Linked DNA regions of Kluyveromyces lactis. The protein of the gene in region 3 interacts with the protein of the main gene of each other region in a biochemical or structural test. Links are inferred from orthologs where the notes say so. Each region holds a gene or a part of one and is shown on either strand. Other genes may lie near its edges. The genes, in order: SUI2, SUI3 and GCD6.

Region 1 (2,383 bases), about 640 kb from region 3:
CTGTATCCCTAATGCCTAACGACGACAAAGCAGATCCAGATCGAACAATGAAAAAAAGACACGTTGGTAATAACTTTATCAACATATATTACGATGAACGAAAACAGGACTCGTTCCCGTTTGACATAATCAAAAGTCAATTCAATTTCATAAACCTTGTCATCAAACCAATGTGGAACGGCAAAGATGAAAAAGACTCTGTGAGTGAATTCTATAAGGTGAAGATTTACAGAGCAAAAGAAGTTCCTGGTATATTCTCTACATCCCACTTCAAAATCATGCATAGGCAGCGCCTCGCAGCGTATGTCAGGCATTTATGTACTGTCGCAAACACATTCGCACAAATTTGGCACGAGTCCGTATCGTCAGAACACTGTTCTACATGGTCTCGCAGATTCGCACACATCAAAACAATCAAAACGAGGCTAAAAAATCAATCTTCTGGCGCTTCTTAGCACGATCGCATCTAGTATGGGTTACTGGTAGTTAGTATCTCTGCAGCTTAATACCTGAGGGCCATTAGTAGTAAGTAATGAAACTTAATTATAATAGTTAGGTCACGTGTAGTACATCACTCTTAACGAGCAGATCTAAAAATTTTTCGAAACTGTGATGCGAAGTATCAAAAAATTGAAAAGATTGATCATTGGAAAGCATATACAATATTGAAGCAACAAAGCAATTTCAATATCGGTATACAAAGGTTTCCAATTAAGCTTCGAACTTACGCGAGCAGTCTCTGATACCGAGGAATTTAATTTATCTGTATCTTGCGATAGATAACGATTACAAACAGAGTATACTTTCTTTGAGTTTGTGGTATATCTTCCAATTGAAAAATTACACAAGAATTTATCATCAGAGCCATTAGATATACAGAGCAGGATGTCCACTTCCAATTGTAGGTTTTACGAGAACAAGTTCCCTGAAGTTGATGATGTTGTGATGGTAAACGTCCAACAAATCGCTGAAATGGGTGCTTACGTTAGATTATTGGAATATGACAACATTGAAGGTATGGTTTTGTTATCTGAATTGTCAAGAAGACGTATTAGATCTATCCAAAAGTTGATTCGTGTTGGTAAGAATGAAGTTGTCGTTGTATTAAGAGTGGATAAGGAGAAGGGTTATATTGATTTGTCTAAGCGTCGTGTTTCTGCAGAAGATGTCATCAAATGTGAAGAAAGATACCAAAAGTCCAAGGCCGTACATTCCATCTTGAGACAATGTGCTGAGAAATACCAAGTATCATTGGAAGATTTGTACAAAGCTTATGCATGGCCTTTAAGTCGAAAGTACGGTCATGCTTACGATGCCTACAAGATGTCCATTGTGGACCCTAACGTTTGGGATGGTATTGAATCTATCAGCGACGAAATTTTCCAAGAATTGAAGGGCCAAATCACCAGAAGATTGACCCCACAAGCGGTCAAGATCAGAGCAGATGTCGAGGTTTCATGTTTCAGTTACGAGGGTATTGATGCTATCAAAGAAGCCCTAAAATCTGCTGAAGAGTTGTCCACTGAACAAATGCAAATCAAAGTCAAATTGGTGGCTGCCCCATTGTACGTCATCACCACCCAATCTTTGGACAAAGATCAAGGTGTTCAACTATTGGAAACTGCTATCGCAAAGATCGAAGAAGTCATTCTAAAGTACAATGGTGTCTGTAATGTCACAATGGCTCCAAAGGCTGTCACCGCCACTGAAGATGCTGAATTACAAGCACTATTAGAATCCAAGGAATTAGAAGGTAGATCAGATTCCGAAGATGAAGACTCCGATTACGAATAGATGGTTTAAAGTGAAACCAAAAAAAAAGGAATTAAAAAGATATACTTCTACTGCTTCCTGTTGTTATACGTGTATACAGCGTTTCGATACCTATAAGTCTTTGCATGTCCTCTCTCCATTTCTTACTTCACTTAACATTGCATTATATTTACTGATGAAGATGAAACAAAAACAAAAGGCCATTTTCTAACAGATGTTCAGGTAATAAACCTATGTTTCCACTTGACTGTGCAGAGAACTACTCTAGCATTTGAACAGGTGGTATCTGCCAATTACTGTCAGCCTTTCCATTCGATTACGACTGGACGTTTTAAAGGATTTTTACATTAGGAAACTCCCATTTTCCTTTTTTCTAGTTTCTTCTTATAATAATAAAGGGAAGCTCCATAAATCCTTATTTTGAAAAAAGAGTGAAAAGTCTTTAAAGTACAACGAAACGAAACTTCTATGTAGTAACATTAGCACATCGGGTATTTCATTTAAACGTGTATAATAAACTAATTCGAACGTCAACGTAATTTGCATTTATTCACAGCCTAGTTGGGATCCTGTATGGTATTTCATCGCTAGGCCAGGAAAATAATAAGAA
Region 2 (2,506 bases), on a different chromosome or scaffold from region 3:
TTTGGAGTCTCTTAAGGATATTTTTACCACTTTGATAGATCCAAGTGCACTCATTGAATGTACAGATGAATTGTCTAAGTCATCTGCCTTGCATATGGCAGCCGCCAACGGTCATTTCGAGGTGGTAAAATATCTACTAAGCATTTTCCCAAAGGATAAACTAAAGGAATGGGTCAACAAGCAAAACGAAACAGGTAACACTGCATTGCACTGGGCTTCGTTGAATGGTAAATTGGATATAGTACAGCTTCTTTGTGAAGAGTATGAGGCTGATCCATTCATCAGGAATAATTTCGACCATGATGCCATCTACGAAGCTGAAAACAACGGACAAGAAGAGATAGAAACATATTACTTGAAGAAGTTCGACGTGGAACCCGAATCGACCGAAAATGAGGAAGAAACTTCATCGGAAAAGGAAGGAGAACAAGCCTCACAGCCCGCATCTATCGACAACGTCCAATTTAGAGAAGGTACAGAGATTGAACAAGTGACCAAAGAAGCTACAGAAGCTCTAAGAGAGCAAACTGAAAAGCTTCAACTAGAATAAGTTTCCTCTGAAAATGAACCGTGGTCAAAAAAAAATCATTCGGCTGGAAAGCTGTATTGTGGCCAATTTGAGCATAAAATATGAACCAAATGTCCATGTACATAACTGTATACTAATCATCAATAAACATAGGTACACCTACCTCATGCGCCCAACAAGCGGAGTTTTATCTAACCAGACTCAAAGGCCAAAGAATAGATAAGTCACGTGTGTTACCCGAACACTGAACGTGCACAATGACAACACTATCGCGTGGCCTGGGAAAATTTTGAAAATAGTGAGTTTTCGGAAAACCAAGAGAATTGAAACGACTGGATCGCAATTGTCATCGCTATTCAATATCCTATTGGATTCTTCAGCTCATATTTGCACAAGGGTAAGACAACTTCTGTGGAAATCTGTTGGCAAGAGTCTAGTTCGTGTAAAGTTCAAGGCCCTTTCCGTTATTACTAAGGAGATTAGCAAGAAGCGAGAAGATACAAAGATACTCAACGATGACTGATGTTGCGGCCGACTTAGGATTCGATCCAACGATGAAGAAGAAGAAGAGCAAGAAGGTAGTTCCGGAAGAACTGATTGCTGCTTCCACCGAGGGAACAGATGATCTTTTTGCTGGTTTGAAGAAGAAGAAGAAGAAGAGCAAGGAAGGTGAAGAAACCACTGAGAAGCAAGTGGACGACATTTCAGATGCTCTAGGCGAATTGAAGTTGAAGAAAAAGAAGAAGAAGGCTGCTGCTGCCGAGAGCAGTGTGGATGACTTTGAGAAGCAATTAGAACAAGCAGGTATTTCAGTCGATGATATTGCCAAGGAGGCCACTCCAACTGAAATCGATTCTAGCATTCAACAAGATGTTGGCCTACCATACCAAGACCTATTGTCTCGTTTCTTTAAGATTTTGAACACAAATAATCCTGAATTGGCCGGTGATAGATCAGGTCCAAAGTTCAAGATCCCTCCACCAATCTGTCAAAGAGATGGTAAGAAGACTATATTTGCGAACATCCAAGAAATTAGTGAAAAATTACAAAGATCCCCAGAACATGTAATCCAGTATCTATTTGCGGAATTGGGTACCTCAGGTTCTGTTGACGGTCAAAAGAGATTGGTCATCAAGGGTAAGTTCTTGCCAAAGCAAATGGAAAATCTATTAAGAAGGTATATTCTGGAATATGTCACCTGTAAGACTTGTAAGAGTATCAATACCGTATTGAAGAAGGAACAATCGAACAGATTGTTCTTCTTGGTTTGTAAGAGTTGCGGTTCTACTAGATCCGTTTCCTCCATCAAGACCGGTTTCCAAGCCACCGTCGGTAAGAGAAAGAGAATGTAGATTAATTGATATGACGTATCAAAATAGTAGTATCATTAACATCTACCGAAAAATCAGAAAAAACTTCGACAATCTTCTAATGTTCAATACGATACAGTTCGAAAGGAATCAAATAAACCTCATAAGGCATAGCTAATATATTCATGGTTGAATATTTTCTCCAGGGAGCATCGCATCGTGCAATTCACACATAACATATGAATAACACCAAATACTTGAAAAGAAATGAGAATAGAAGGTATCTTCATCCTTCTTTCACGTTCATTATTAATTTTTTTTCTGTTTGTGTATGTTATCTAATGGTTTTTATCTAATCTGTAATTTAGTTGTTATAAACAAAACGACGAGATCAATGCTCTAAAAGATCAATTTAAATTTAAGCTCTATAATCTGAAACCCTTCCCCCAGTTAAAATATCATATCTGTGCATTTTCGATCAATTTACGGAAAGAAGGACACCACGAATTCACCGACATATCCGACAGCATCCATTTTGTAATTAAATCTGTAACCCGTTTTGAATCGTTCAAGTTGGCGAATATTTCACTCAACGCATATCTTGTGCCCTCGTTTTCCAATACATTTTCTAGAACCTTATCCACCTTAGTTTTATAAAAGGAAAATT
Region 3 (3,768 bases):
AAAATGACGTATTTCAAATTTACTTCATGGGCTGTCAAATCTTTACCTAAACCAAATCTTATACGTACGCCATACGGACCCTACACTTCCAGAAATTCTTCCACTATTTGATTTAGTTACTATAATTCTTTTCTCTACTTATCCATATTAAGATAGAATGTGTTAATCAATGTGTGCACTTACATAATTAAACTTACGTTTCGTACTAAACTTAATATCTGTCGCACTGCTTTCATGCTTATTGTTTAAAAGCAAAGCAAAAAAAAAACCCAAAAATCAAAAAAAAATGTCGAATAGCGGAAGCCTCATGGAAATGGCAGTGATAACAAAAATATCACTTAAAGCAGTTAAAAATAAGGTACAACAATTACGTCGACTCCACATACAAAATATATATAAGCAAGAACTCGATCCATCATTTACTCGGACTGTATATTGTTGATATTTTTTTTTTGATATATAATGTCACTTGAAGCATGTTGGGTTTTAATTGTATAAGTTCTTTGCCAACTCCACTCAAGTGAATCAATAGGTCTGTTGTGTTAGCCGTACTGTTCTAATACCAATAGGAAACTGAAAGACCCTATTCTGAAGAACTATCACTAAAAAAATTAATACTATGAGAAATCACAACCAGCCACAGCAAGGCTACTACGCCCAACAACAGCCTGTGTATGTACAGCAACCTCCTCCGAGAGAACGTTCCAGCTGCCTAGGAACATGCTGTAAATGTTTGTTATGTTGGTGTTTGATTGATACTCTATGTAATGTTTGCTGCTAGGTAAATTTTATAATAAACCTCTAAATAGGAATGATATTCTAAACAAAAGTTCAAAGAACCTCTGCTAATTCAATTAATGGTTTATTGAAGGGCCAATTGTGTGTTCATTATGGTTCAAGGTATGCCTTCTTTTGGTAAAAAAAATTATTGGTTCGCAGAATATAAACATCAACAAAAGCAAATAAGACATCATTGAAGCCCCTGTAGCTCAGTGGTTTAGAGCATCGTGCTTATAGTGTGACTCCAATCAATATGGAACATTCTATGAAAATTGGCCCTTCAAAAGGTCGTTTCAAAGCAACGCGATAGTCGTGGGTTCAAACCCCACCAGGGGCATCTATTTTTTTCTCATATTTCAACTATCTTTTTTTTATGGGTTACTATGATGATTCTGATTTTTACACAGAAATTCACGCAGAGCGTTGTATCTGAAATTTTTTTCTTGTCTTGGTTCTTCCTTATTTTCAAATTGAAAGTGAGAAATGACATGAAATTTGAATATTGAACAATCAATTAATTACATATTACACATGATGATGAGTTTATCGAGAAGAGAAAATCATCCAACTTTATCGCTCTGGAAACGCTTAGTCTTTTGGTTAGAACGGGGAAAAAGGTACCCTGTTTATTAATAGTATACTTGTACTCATTTAAGCTTTTTTTGTTTCCAGAGTTTCCCGTAATTTACAATCGAAAGATGAGTGGAAAGAAGACCAAATCTGGTAAAGCCAATCAGAATAAGAAACAAGAGGTTGTTCAAGATGAACGTTTACAAGCGATTGTTTTGACTGACTCGTTTGAGACTAGGTTTATGCCTTTGACTTCGGTGAAACCAAGATGTTTGTTGCCGTTGGCCAACATTCCCTTGATTGAATATACTTTGGAGTTCTTAGCTAAGGCCGGAGTCAACGAAGTTTATCTGATTTGTGCATCGCATGGTGAACAGATCCAGGAATATATCGATCAGTCCAAATGGAGTTTACCATGGGCTCCGTTTAAGGTGAATACCATCATGTCGCTAGAGTCCAGATCTGTTGGAGATGCAATGAGAGATGTCGATAACCGTGGGCTAATTACCGGTGATTTCGTACTTGTTAGTGGTGATTTGGTGACTAATATGGACTTTGAAAAGGCTTTAGATATTCATAAACAAAGGAGAAAGGCTGATAAGGATCATATTGTCACTATGTGCCTAAGTAAAGCGACTCAGTTTCATAAGACAAGGTCTCATGAACCAGCAACGTTCATTTTTGATAAGTCTAATGATAGATGTATTTACTACCAGGATATCCCATTGGCTAGCTCTAGAGAAAAAACTACCATTGATATTGATCCTGAACTTCTGGAAGGTGTTGACGAGTTTGTGTTACGCAACGATTTGATTGATTGCCATGTAGATATCTGTTCTCCTCATGTCCCTGCTATTTTCCAAGAGAATTTCGATTACCAATTCTTGAGAAGAGATTTTGTTAGAGGTGTGCTTTCTAGTGATTTGTTGAAGAAACATATCTACGGGTACATTACCGACGAATACACCACTAGAGCAGAAAGTTGGCAAACGTATGATGCTATCTCGCAAGATTTTATTGCTAGATGGTGTTACCCATTGGTTCTTAATGCCAACCTTTTAAAGGGCCAAACTTATTCATACGAAAGCCAACACATTTATAAGGAAAAAGACGTGGTATTAGCGCAGTCCTGTAAGATAAAGAAAAACACGGCCATCGGCTCAGGATCCAAGATTGGAGAAGGTACAGTCATTGAAAATAGTGTTGTTGGTAGAAATTGTAAAATTGGCTCAAACATCAGAATCAAAAACAGTTACATTTGGGACAATGTTGTCATTGATGATAACACTACAATTGAGCACTCTTTAGTTGCTTCAGATGTTAAATTAGGATCAAACGTCACCTTGAATGATGGTTCCATTATCGGATTCAATGTAGTGATTGACGATAATGTTACAATCCCAGTTGGAACCAAGATTTCAGCGGTTCCAGTACAGAGGAACACAGCTCAATTCTTAGATACAGCACATAATCTTTCTTCCAGCGATGAGGACGAAGAAGGAAGCACATTCACCAGAAATTCATCTTCTTTATCAATCAGTAATTCCGATGAAGTTGCCGATGCGAAGATTAAACTATCTAAGCAGTTGGTTGGGCCAAACGGGAGAGGCGTACTATACGAAAGTGATGATGAGGATGAAGATGAAGATGGATCGACCGAAAAGGGTATTGCGAACACATTAACGTACAGAGACGATGACATTTATTTATCGGATACTTCCATATCATCCATCACTCAAAAACATAGAAAGAGGAGAACCATGTCGATGACTAGTATCTATACTGATTACGAAGGAGAAGAAGACGAAGAAGAAGATTTCGAAAAAGAAGCCATCGCAACAGTTGAAAGAGCTATAGAGAACAACCACGATTTAGACACATCAATGCTTGAACTAAACACTTTGAGAATGAGTATGAACGTCACTTATCATGAAGTCAGGAATGCTTCTGTTATCGCTATATTCAGAAGAGTTTACCACTTTGTAGCCACACAAACACTAGGTCCAAAGGACGCTGTCACTAAAGTCTTACAACAATGGGGTCCTGTGTTTAAGAGACAAGCATTTGATAGTGATGAGTTCATTGATCTAATGAATATCATTCTGGATCGTGTGCTAGATCAGAAATTCGATAAACCAGATTTCATTCTATTCCATGTATATAATGTCTTGTATGATTTGGATATCTTAGAGGAAGATGTCATTTACAAATGGTGGGACTCTGTAAGCGGTGATTCAAAATACAGCGAAGTTACTGCTCTACTGGCCAAATGGGTGGACTGGCTAAAGACTGCAGATGAAGAATCATCTGATGAAGAAGACAGTGACGAAGACGAATAAGTCAATAACGTCATAAATGCCCTTTGAATTTTCATGGTTCCTCCGAAGTTCAAGATTGGTCAATATCAATCAATATAAT

Evidence for each region.
Region 1: the proteins of GCD6 (region 3) and SUI2 form a complex in vitro, tested with the Saccharomyces cerevisiae proteins (2 studies listed by BioGRID). The link is inferred for Kluyveromyces lactis from reciprocal best matches to the Saccharomyces cerevisiae genes GCD6 and SUI2.
Region 2: the proteins of GCD6 (region 3) and SUI3 form a complex in vitro, tested with the Saccharomyces cerevisiae proteins (4 studies listed by BioGRID). The link is inferred for Kluyveromyces lactis from reciprocal best matches to the Saccharomyces cerevisiae genes GCD6 and SUI3.

What each region holds. Positions count from the first base shown.
Region 1 is NC_006037.1:1,020,641-1,023,023, forward strand, and holds SUI2 (translation initiation factor eIF2 subunit alpha), read left to right. Parts: upstream 1-885; coding exon 886-1,794; downstream 1,795-2,383. Other genes in the region: KLLA0_A11792g (uncharacterized protein), read left to right, coding at 1-455. UniProt on the Saccharomyces cerevisiae protein: eIF-2 functions in the early steps of protein synthesis by forming a ternary complex with GTP and initiator tRNA. This complex binds to a 40S ribosomal subunit, followed by mRNA binding to form a 43S pre-initiation complex.
Region 2 is NC_006040.1:750,899-753,404, forward strand, and holds SUI3 (translation initiation factor eIF2 subunit beta), read left to right. Parts: upstream 1-1,044; coding exon 1,045-1,881; downstream 1,882-2,506. Other genes in the region: YAR1 (Yar1p), read left to right, coding at 1-550; ADD37 (Add37p), read right to left, coding at 2,298-2,506. UniProt on the Saccharomyces cerevisiae protein: Component of the eIF2 complex that functions in the early steps of protein synthesis by forming a ternary complex with GTP and initiator tRNA.
Region 3 is NC_006037.1:383,196-386,963, reverse strand, and holds GCD6 (translation initiation factor eIF2B catalytic subunit epsilon), read left to right. Parts: upstream 1-1,478; coding exon 1,479-3,689; downstream 3,690-3,768. UniProt on the Saccharomyces cerevisiae protein: Acts as a catalytic component of the translation initiation factor 2B (eIF2B) complex, which catalyzes the exchange of GDP for GTP on eukaryotic initiation factor 2 (eIF2) and is regulated by phosphorylated eIF2.